Linked DNA regions of Drosophila melanogaster. Changing the gene in region 1 together with any one later gene gives a genetic interaction. Each region holds a gene or a part of one and is shown on either strand. Other genes may lie near its edges. The genes, in order: ltl and cv-2.

Region 1 (5,048 bases):
TAAATGATTTTAACTGATTAATAGAAATGGCTTTATAATTATAATAATAATTATTTTTACCCTTGAAGTATTTAAAATGCATAACTTGTATACCCAATATTAAAAATGTTTCTTGTCAGAAAGATAAGCCCGCCCAATTTCTCGCAGTGCATACGAATACACACATGTGTGCTGGCGATACTTTTCCTGGCTGGCTGGCATGATTTGGTCAAAGCACGATATTAAGGCAATAGGTCAATTGTTATAAATTGACATCAATGTAAAAAGCGTTCCCCGAGCAGCCAGAATCGAAGGCATTGCCACCAGAGGCACGCGCTCTCCGCTGGATTCTCGATGCTGGATGTTGGATGCTTGGTAGCTGGATTCTGGGGGAGATCGCCGATTGGGGAGATGGTGCATAACACTGATTCGATCAAGTCGGCTAATTAAATCATGCCGACTTCCATGCAAACACGCAAATTGCATTCGGAGAATGATAAATCGAATAGTTTAATCGTGGGGGTAGTCGCCGGGCAATTGCCATGATTTCAGAAAACTGATTCAAGGAATGGATTTTCCCAGAACTAAAAGGTCGCCATCGGTTGATTGGTGGAGCTTTCGCACTTTGTTACTCCAAATACTTTCGATGATTTGTGCTATATTACTAAAACGTGTTCCCGAATGTACGCCTAAACCCAGTTTCATCCCACACAGTCGCTATTAAATTTTTAATAGATTCCCAAAAACAATAAAGATAAGCGTTTTTTTTTTTTTTTTTGGAATATAAACATGAATGAGTCTAGTACTATGGATTGTAACAAAGAGATATTTCAATTCGGCTAACACAAAGATACAGTTGAATGAAGCTATTGATAAATTAAACAAACGCTTGTCCTTGTGATTGAATTCAGTTTTCGAAAACATTTTTTTTGGGGCTTTGGGCACAAAGAATCCCCTGAGTCATATTTTGTTTTGAATCGCGAATGTAAAATCGTGGCTGTAAAACAACGGAGTCAAATATCAATGAACCCGCGACAGGCGCTTATGAAATAGGCTCGAATGTTATTTCTATATTCGCAAGTGCAGATCAGTGGATCGACAGCATTTATTTATATGCATTAATTATAATTGTCAATATGTGTACATATAAAACACAATGCGACAGTGAATTGAAATTCATTGAGAGTCAGAGTCGGAAAACGTGCAGGCGCCGTTGAAAAGACGCCTTCAACAAACTGCAATTATCAATTTTGTGTACGCATTAAGTATACGTCGTATACCTCCAGTCAGCCATACGGCTAAGTACATAGGCGGAATCCTATATAAATACTTCGTAGGTGATAAGCGTTATCAGTTATCAATTGAACAAGAAGAAGATGTAGTAGAAGAAGAAGACGACGAGACTCAAGCTACGGCAGCACATCCCATAGTTGGGAATTAGCGGCAATTCAATGCTACTTCCTAATTGAAAAATTAAATCATCTGGGCGGCAATTAAGATGCGACTGCACCATCTCCAACCACATCCATCCATCTCCTTCGCAATTTGCCCAATTGAGCCATAGATAATGAGGCGGCACTGGGCTCTTTGACGTAAACAAACGACATTGTTATTGTTTTAGTATCTATGTAGTATGTATATGGCTGTAAACAAGATCTGGCCACCCGAACCGATCTGTGGAGCACATTTTTTCGTGCATTTACATAAGCGTATTGAAATTTGTGTACATTTTGCATTATTATTTTTCTCTCGGTTTTTATTGGGTTTAAGGAACCTAAATTGATAGCCGGCCGAGCGGAAAATTCTGCCTTTCTGCGGAACTTGGCTGTTGGCCTTGAACTCCCCGCCACAGTAAAGAAATTTTGATTGAATCTATAGCAGGAAAATTTCCCCAATACATCATTATACCTCGATCTACACAAATTGGCACACGCTACCAACGATATATCTGTACTGTACTTACATAAATGTATGCTATATGAAAAGGAGTGTTCCTCTTGTGAGCAATATATGGAATCTATCTATACTTGGCAAATGTAAAGTAGCGACTTTTTAGTCAGTTTCTAAAAATCTAGTGATTCAGCAAAGGAATTTGTATAGAATCTACACCACAGCTGGGAAACCCCTTATAGAGCTATTTGGCTCCTGCTCTCCAAAATTGCAAACCGAATCGATGACTCAACTCACTTTAGACTGTTCCACTGCATCCGTAGCTTGTACAAGTTGAAGTTCATATCCGTAAACGAGCGCATTTCCAGGTCGTCGAGTTGCGAGTGCGTGATCTTTAGGTCGATATTGGTGTCGGCATTGAGCTTATTGGCCAGGCTGTCCACGACGGCGTTGAAGGATTCCAACTTCTCGCAGGAGAGCTCCACATGATTCCAGGCTTTGCCCGTTTCGCAGGTGCAGGGCGAGATCTCCGGACGCACGGAACATTGCAGCGAGGCCAGGTGAAAGACGGTGTACACGAGGGAAGTCATTTTCGTAGAGTGATCTCAGTCACTCGGTGAATGCGATTTCACAATTCTTTGGCCAGAGCAATAATATATTTGTATATGTACACTTTTTCGCTATCTACGATATCTCAGTTCACAGTTCGGTTCACAGTTCACAAATCACGGTTTTCCGGCTCGAGACCAGGACACGTTGCATTCGCTCGGACGGCGGATTATCAACTGTTCGAGCAGGCAGCTCGGAAAACACGAAAGACTCGGGAAATTACCCACTAGGCGCACATATGCGTGCGTGCGGGGGTTTCCATGGCAGCTCGGTTTTCCAGCAGGATTTCGTTGATTCTCTGAACCGCTGGCATCGGATTTCAAAGCCGCACTGTCACTACTTTTGAAAGATCTTTCAAATAACACACGCGCACCGCACTTAAGGTTAAGTTCGGTCGATCGATCGATCGTATCGATCGTATCGAATCTTAACGGCTGGGATATGGAGAACTGGAGCTAGAGCTGGAGCTGCTACTCCTCCGCCTCCTCCTATCTGCTAGACCTTCTGACCCGCTTGTATATAGATCGCCGATGCTCGGAATTAATCTTCTAAAAAATTTTGTATTTGCCTGTTTGTTTGTCGAACACCGCGAGTATATCTCTATTGTATTTTTTTTTATTGATGGGCTGCTGATCACGTCTAGATTGCAGGGCGGTCTCTTTGCGACTGGGAGTGGAAATGCTAACGTTGAGGATTCGTATGTGCTGCTGCTAGCTGCTGCTGCTGCTGCTGCTGCTGCTGCCTACTGCTGTTGCTGCTGCCGGCAGCGCTGTTGCTGCTGCGGTGCGATATGTATTGCTGCTGCTGCTGCTGGTTTTACTCTCTCTCCGATCTCTTGGCGCTCCGGCGAGATGCTCGAGCGGCTTTTTGGCCAATTGGGGACTTGAGATGCGGCTATAATTGTCCACGACACTCAATTACATGTTCTGTCGGCGCCAGGCATCAATCTCCATCTATATCTGCAACTCAATCCCGATCGCGATGTGCGATGTGTTTGTGCCCCCATCGAGTGCTGATGTTTGTTGCTACTTGCTACATGCTACTTGCTTGCCCATGTTGCCGCTGGGATCTTCTTCGGAACCCAGTTCTATGTATGGGGCATCATTATATTATCGTGGACACATGTTGGTACTTACATATGTGCTGCTCTTGCTCTACGCACTCCCATCAAATTGTCCTTTTACATAGACACACATCTGGCACTCGCCTCGCTCGCTCTCAAGCTATGTTTTTAATTATGACTTTTTGGATCGTATCATATCGGAACGTATCGTATCTGATAGGATCGTTGGCAGTGTTTGAATGGAACCGGCTTGTTTAAGGATCTGCGCAGCCCAATTGAGATTGGGCCAAGTGAAAATTTTCCACTGGCGCCAGAGCGATTCCAAAACTCTGGCGGGGATGGGATCAGGCAGCAGGCAGCAGGCGACAGAGAGCAGGGAGCCGGGAGCAGGAGCCATGCATCAAAGTCCGCTGCCTTAATTTATCTCCAAGTTCTGGGACCGCATGCATAATTAAACACTGGGCGCCTTAAATGCGCTCGCCACAAATTCCGCAAATTCCACGGATTGCGCGTGCCAACGATGTCTCCTCCTCCTCGTCGTCGTCGTGGTCGTCGTCTGCAGTTCTGGCTGCAATTAATCATCGGGATCATCGGGGGGCGGCCACTGGCTGAGTGACTTCTGATGCCCAGCCAACACATCCATCTCCATTTTCCATGCAGACTGCAAGCTCCCGAGGAACCTTGGCACGATTATGTTATGTTTAGGGCCGTCGGAGAGATTAACTTAATTACATACAGCCGGGCTCACTCATTTAGAGGGATTTAAAAAATTAAATCTTATGACCGGCTTTTATTCGATCAATCCAATAATGTTTCAATTAATAATATTCCTCTCGTAATTGAACTACTTCCTGTTTTAGATCTGTTAATAAATGGGATAAACTCTTCTTTTATGAACATATTTTCCGAATTCCACAGTTTTTCCTATCAAATAATGTCCATATCTCTGGAAGGTTTTTTTAAATAAACTGTTTATAGTTTTCAAATTGTCATGATTCTTATGAATATATCTAACATAAATTTATTAGAACGCACGCAGAATAATTTTCTAAGAATTGCAGATAGTTATTTAAATTATGATCTAAACTGGCAGCTTGGAATAAACTAAAATGTTAAACTCTTTAGCACAGCAACTGCCGAGCTTAGCAGATGCCAATTGTGGTGTTACAGTGCTGAACCGCACTGTAATCAATAACTGTAGGTACGAAAATATACCTCGATTACGTAGCCAATCTATTTTTGGCGCCCAATCATCTCGAGTAAATATTTAAAGAAAAGCGGCAAATATTTATAATTATTATTTATTCATATGTTTTCTTTTCTTTACGGCTTCTTGGTATTTCTTTTTGTTTTTATTTTATTTTTTTTGCACATAAATATTCTCAACATTTTTATGTGACACATTTTCGTGTTTCGATTGCAGGCGACAACAATAACAAGAGTAGCGTAGGCTTCGGACTTCGATGACGATGAAATGGGATGGTGCGGGTTGCTGGTACGATGGGAT
Region 2 (5,288 bases), on another chromosome or scaffold:
CAGAACCGAATCCCCCCAAGATTGTGGACCGCAGATCGGGGATCGCAGACCGCCTGGCTCTGCTGTGCTTGGACAGGTGCGTGAACGTGGCCAGCGGGAGCGAGAAAGAGTCGCAACCCGAATCGTACCCTAACGTATCCGAACAGGGAGTACCCTGGAAAGCACGCTCTTCTAAGTCCTTTAGAATCTGAATACATGTATTACTTAAAGGATCTAAGATAACGCAGATCAAATTAAATTGGAAAATAAATCATTTTAAGTTTCGCTTTTCTGTGGGCAAGTTACTAGAGTTAGTAAGTTAGTTATCATGCCTTTCTCAACCCCAAAAGATTCACTCCATCCAAAGGACTTTCTAACTTCAAAACTTGTAAAAACTACTTTCTGCCCATCTTCATTCAAGAGTTCCCCAACTCGTGCTAAGCAAACAACATCATCCACTTCAATTACCCTTGATCCAAGGGTATAAACACATAGTTTTTTTTTTAAACCAAATTCACATGCAGTTCGTAGTTGTAGTTGCAGTTGTTATTGTTGATGTTGATGTTGGTCGGTGGACAGAAGGGGCAAACGAGTTGGCCCCGCCGCCTGTGTATGCCAGTTGTCAGTTGGCAAAACTGGTATGGTTGCATTTTTATTATAAAGCGAACAGAAACAACAACAAAAAGCGACACCTAGGCAGTACGGGAAAGTCCGTCCGTTTGTCTCTGCCACTGCAAGTCAGGGATCGGAGGATAGGGGATTGGTTTGGATAGCTCAAGGATGGGAGGCTTGGGGACGCCGAATGGGAATGGGAATAGGAATGGGGACTGTCATCCATGGGCTGGTGTGTCGCCAGTTTAGCCCAGTACGCGAACTGCTAGTCAGACGTCTGTTCTATGGACGTTTCATGGACATACCGGCGCACATTCGTATTAACCCATGTAGCTTTGGCTTACTACCTGCCCCGCCCCCAAACGTATCCCAATCCCAATTGCAGTCCCCCCTGCAAAGAGCAGTTATTACCAGTGTTATTTACACAGAGATAAATGAAGAATGTGACGAAAGAAAATACGTTAAAACTAGCAAGATATTAGCAATCAAAGATACAGTATGTTGTATTCAAAATACGAAACAATGGTAATACATTTGATAAAACAGATATAAATTTGAACAGAAGTACTTGGATGCATTGAAAATGCTTAAATAATATTTCTTTCCGTGCATACTTTATTGGCTCTTATGTTTGCGTTTCGGTTTGTGTCTCCATTGCCCCAGCAGTCGTAATTTGTTTTGGTGTCCTTCTGCCAGACTGTCCTCCTAATGAGCCAGTTTATTGTATTTCCTATTTGTGGCCCCGTCCACCAAGCGATGACACTTTTTATGGCTCGATGAGGGTAATACAGGAAATGGCCTGCGATTAGCTTAGTGACAATTCTCGCTGCAATTGAAGTTTCAGCTGCAGTTGCAGTTGCAGCAGCAGCTGCTGCAGTGATTTATCATCTTTGCAGCCTGACAGTTGGCCAGCTTATATATCTATATATCACCTGGTGATATTTGACACATCGTTACTAATTGGTTAAACAATATGTATCACCGCTGACTCATGCCCGGCAATAGATAAGGTGTTTTGTGCTCATGCACCCGATCTGCGGCACTTTGTTTAATCGCTCACTTAGTTGGTAGCTGTTAAGCGGCTTAAAGTCGTTCTACACACTCGAAATGCTCACTTAGAACGCCTCAATGGTTTTCGAATTGGATTTATTAAGCCCAAACCAAATGGCTGTCGGGCAATTAAAGCCAACTATGATTTCCGCCTTTACAAAATGCTATGCAAATGTTCTCAATTAAATGCTGGCCCGGACACTCAAACATATGTTTGCTTATTCGCAATTTGATCGGCTTTTGATTTCGAATTTACAACTTTTAATGCTTGGCAGTAATCAATTCGAAGGAAATCAAGAGAGAGAGGCGAGAGCGAGTGCCAAATGTGATAATAGAAACCAAACAATTAAACAATTTTCGCAAAATGTTGAAACAACAAAGGCAGATAGCACACACGTTCGCAGATACACACAGATAAGTGAAATGTTTATATGTTTCGCATTATAATAAAACAAAATCGCACTTGGCATTATAGCAACAAAGAATCGGGGAATCTCCGGATCAGGGAATCGGGGAATCGCGGAATCAGGGAGAGGCAAAGATTAATTACAAAGGAAAAAGTAAAGACGCAAAGTTTACCCGTAATTACACTTCCAGATTTCCAGATGAGGTGCTTCTACTGCTGCTGCTGCTGCTGCTGGTGGCAAGAAATCGGCGGAATCGAAAATTAATTATGCTTGACATGTTGCCAGCGATCATCAGTTCGCCTCTTGTTCTTGCTGTTATTGTTGTCGTCTAGTTGTTGCTGTTGTTGCTGCCACTCGAACCGATATAAATCGCATTTTCAATTGCCTGGGCTTGGGTCTATTTTTTATTTGTATTATTTTTTACGTATGTATGTATTTCTACGCGAAAAAGAGAGGCCACACCGCGTTTGGAAAGAGACGAAGCACTTAGAACTCACTGGCGCATAATTTATTTGAGCCGGCGCGCGCCTTTCATTTCAATTCCCATTTCCATTTCGATTTACATTTGCATTTCAATTTCAATTTGATTGCGAGTACTTCGATTCGCTTGCCACAGATTACGCATACGCCACGTTGTGTGCGCGCTTGTCCGTCGACGCTGTCAAAGGTTCAATTTCGCGCCGTGCCGCAATTGCAATAAGCATTCAATTCAATGCAATTCAATGAAATTGCGCGCCAATTCGCCGGACCCACTGGAAAACGCTGCTAGCCAGTGTTAGTGGAAAACGACGCATTAGCGCACGCAGAAAATCAGAAAAACAGAAAATCGCACAAGTCTGAATATCAGAAATTCAAGCTAAGCCCCGCATTAAGATTCAGTCGCGTTGATAACAAACTTCAAATTCGTTTATGTTGTTTTCTATTTGAATTGCGTTCGGACTACGTATTTTATAGTAATTACGCTCCACCAGCGATCGTTGTCTCGTGTGAATCGGCGAACGTGAAAATCGCGCGCGAGTTTTCCCCTTTTACGGCTGATAGATTTTCCTGGCCAGCAATTTACAATTTCGAGCCACTCTCGAGCGCTTCTGGAAAACCGCACCGCTCGCGTGCGCAGCTAAAGTTGAACTGAGCACTGCAAGCGGAAAAAACGCTGAGAACACTGAGAAAACGCTCGTCTGCGTTCGGGCTGGCCTTCGTGTCGGTGTCGCCGAGCCGAGCCGAGCCGAAGGCGAAGCAGCGCAGCAGCAGAGGATTGGGGCCTCGTTTTTGGGGGCTCGCACTTTGCTGCGATTTTTTAGCGATAAGGGGACTTTTCTGGTGTTGTTGTACAAACGCTAGTTGCCTTCTAAAGTTTTGAACTAATTGTTATGCTTATAGTGATTCCTTAAAAACAAAATACTAGTAAAATATGTTTATAATATTTCATTGTCTACGATAATTTTGAGATAATCTAGATTTTATAGAGATAGTATAGCCCTAAAAAGTTAACAGTCAATGTCTACTAAATTAAACATGTCGTAACATGTTTGAGATGTTAAGATATTCATATCCAACTGTACCCAAATTTCAGGGCTGCCGACTTCAAAGGCGCACTCTTCACGAATTGCAATTGAAATCGAATTTCAATCTACATTCACACATTCCTAAGCGAAATGAACACCTCGACGATGGCAAAGTGTTAACAGGGCGAACATGAGAAGCGACCCCCCCCCCCCCCTGCGCATTGGGTGGGAAATCAACACACCTTAGTAGTCGCATGGTAGGCAAATCAATTCAATGCGATTCGTTTCGATTCAATTCCGGGAACTTTTGCCAATTAGAATTTGTCAACTGGCATTCCGCGCTGTCTGCCTCGACTTCTTTGTTTTGATAGTTCACGGAGGTATTTTCCCGTCTGATAAAGGCATTATTCGGCCGTAGTATCAATTCGATTGCTTTCCACTCGAACCATGAATGAATTGAAGTTCAAAAGCCTGCTGATTAGATCAGTGTGTGTCAGGTGGAATTGAATGACTTTGCAGTCAGGTGAAATTATCACCAGAATGGCATGTACATATGATAGTGTAAACTTGAAAATAAGGTGCTATAAATGACAAGGAATTTCACAATCCATACCAATAGCAATGAATCATTGCAAGTAATAAAAATTTTTTAAGCTAACTAAACTAACCAAAGGCGTGGGCTAAGTTCTAGCTAAGTTACCTGGGAGCTCTTTAGTTTTAGTTGCACTATAAATCGTAAGCAGCAGTTCTTTCCCACAATGAATGAATGAATCCATTCATTATGATCCCCAAAGCCGACGTGACTGCAATCCGAATTGTGTCTTATGGTATTTGTCTCGAATGCGATAATAGCACTTAAAGCTCTTAAATGCATTTGGCAGATGATGAGACAGAGACGGTGGTACAAATGGTGGCGAGTTTTCGAGACCCTGGGATAATTCACACTTAACCCGCAGCCAAATCAAACTGCCAGCCATTTGACATTTATGCGATGGCCTTTTTTTGCATGTTTTTCTTTTTTGTTTTTTTGGAAAAGCTGCCGCGGCACGCTAGGAAAATGCCACGGAGTTGCAGCTGAGCTGGAGATGATTTATGCACTCATTGTATCTGTAGTTGTGGCTGGAAAATTGCAGTTATCACGAACGAAGCTCGGTTTGGATTATGCTTCGGTTTCAGCTTTGCTTATGCTCTTGGTTTCAGCTTTGGATTTGGAGATAGAGATGGAGTTTCCCAGGCCATGGATTTTGTCACTGGAGGTTGCCTAGTCATTATTTATGAGGCGAACGGTGCAATATGCAGCCAGGTGGGAACCGTGACGCAGTCTGTAAAATTAAATAATTGCGTTTCATTAAATGCCGTTTGCTATTTGCATAGGTTCCCCCCGCATTGCAAACAAAGTGCAAAGCAATTTGGCATAAACGTCATCGGGTCGAATTGCTTAGTGTTTGGGTGGATGGGGAGGTAGACGGTGGGCGGTGGGCAGTGGGCGGTGGTTGGAAATCTGAGAATCCCGCCCCACAATTTTCCACGCCACTTGAGCGTAATTAAGCGTTGAGCTTCTAAGCCCTAAGCAAATAGGCAAGCCGTCGAGCGTCTCCAGCCCCAAAACCACCCCCCACATTTGGTGCGATTATCCACAGCCTATATGCTATATATATACGATTGCGAAGCAGTTTGCGCAGCGAATCGATGCTATTTTGATACTGGTAAATATTTGCAATTGGCCAATAAGTGA

What was found.
Region 2: of ltl (region 1) and cv-2, changing one suppresses a phenotype caused by changing the other (phenotypic suppression), as found in Drosophila melanogaster (one study listed by BioGRID).

Annotation. Positions count from the first base shown.
Region 1 is NT_037436.4:7,517,096-7,522,143, reverse strand, and holds the start of ltl (larval translucida), read right to left. Parts: upstream 3,148-5,048; 5' UTR 2,460-3,147; coding exon 2,167-2,459; intron 1-2,166.
Region 2 is NT_033778.4:21,376,285-21,381,572, forward strand, and holds the start of cv-2 (crossveinless 2), read right to left. Parts: upstream 3,181-5,288; 5' UTR 2,221-3,180; intron 1-2,220.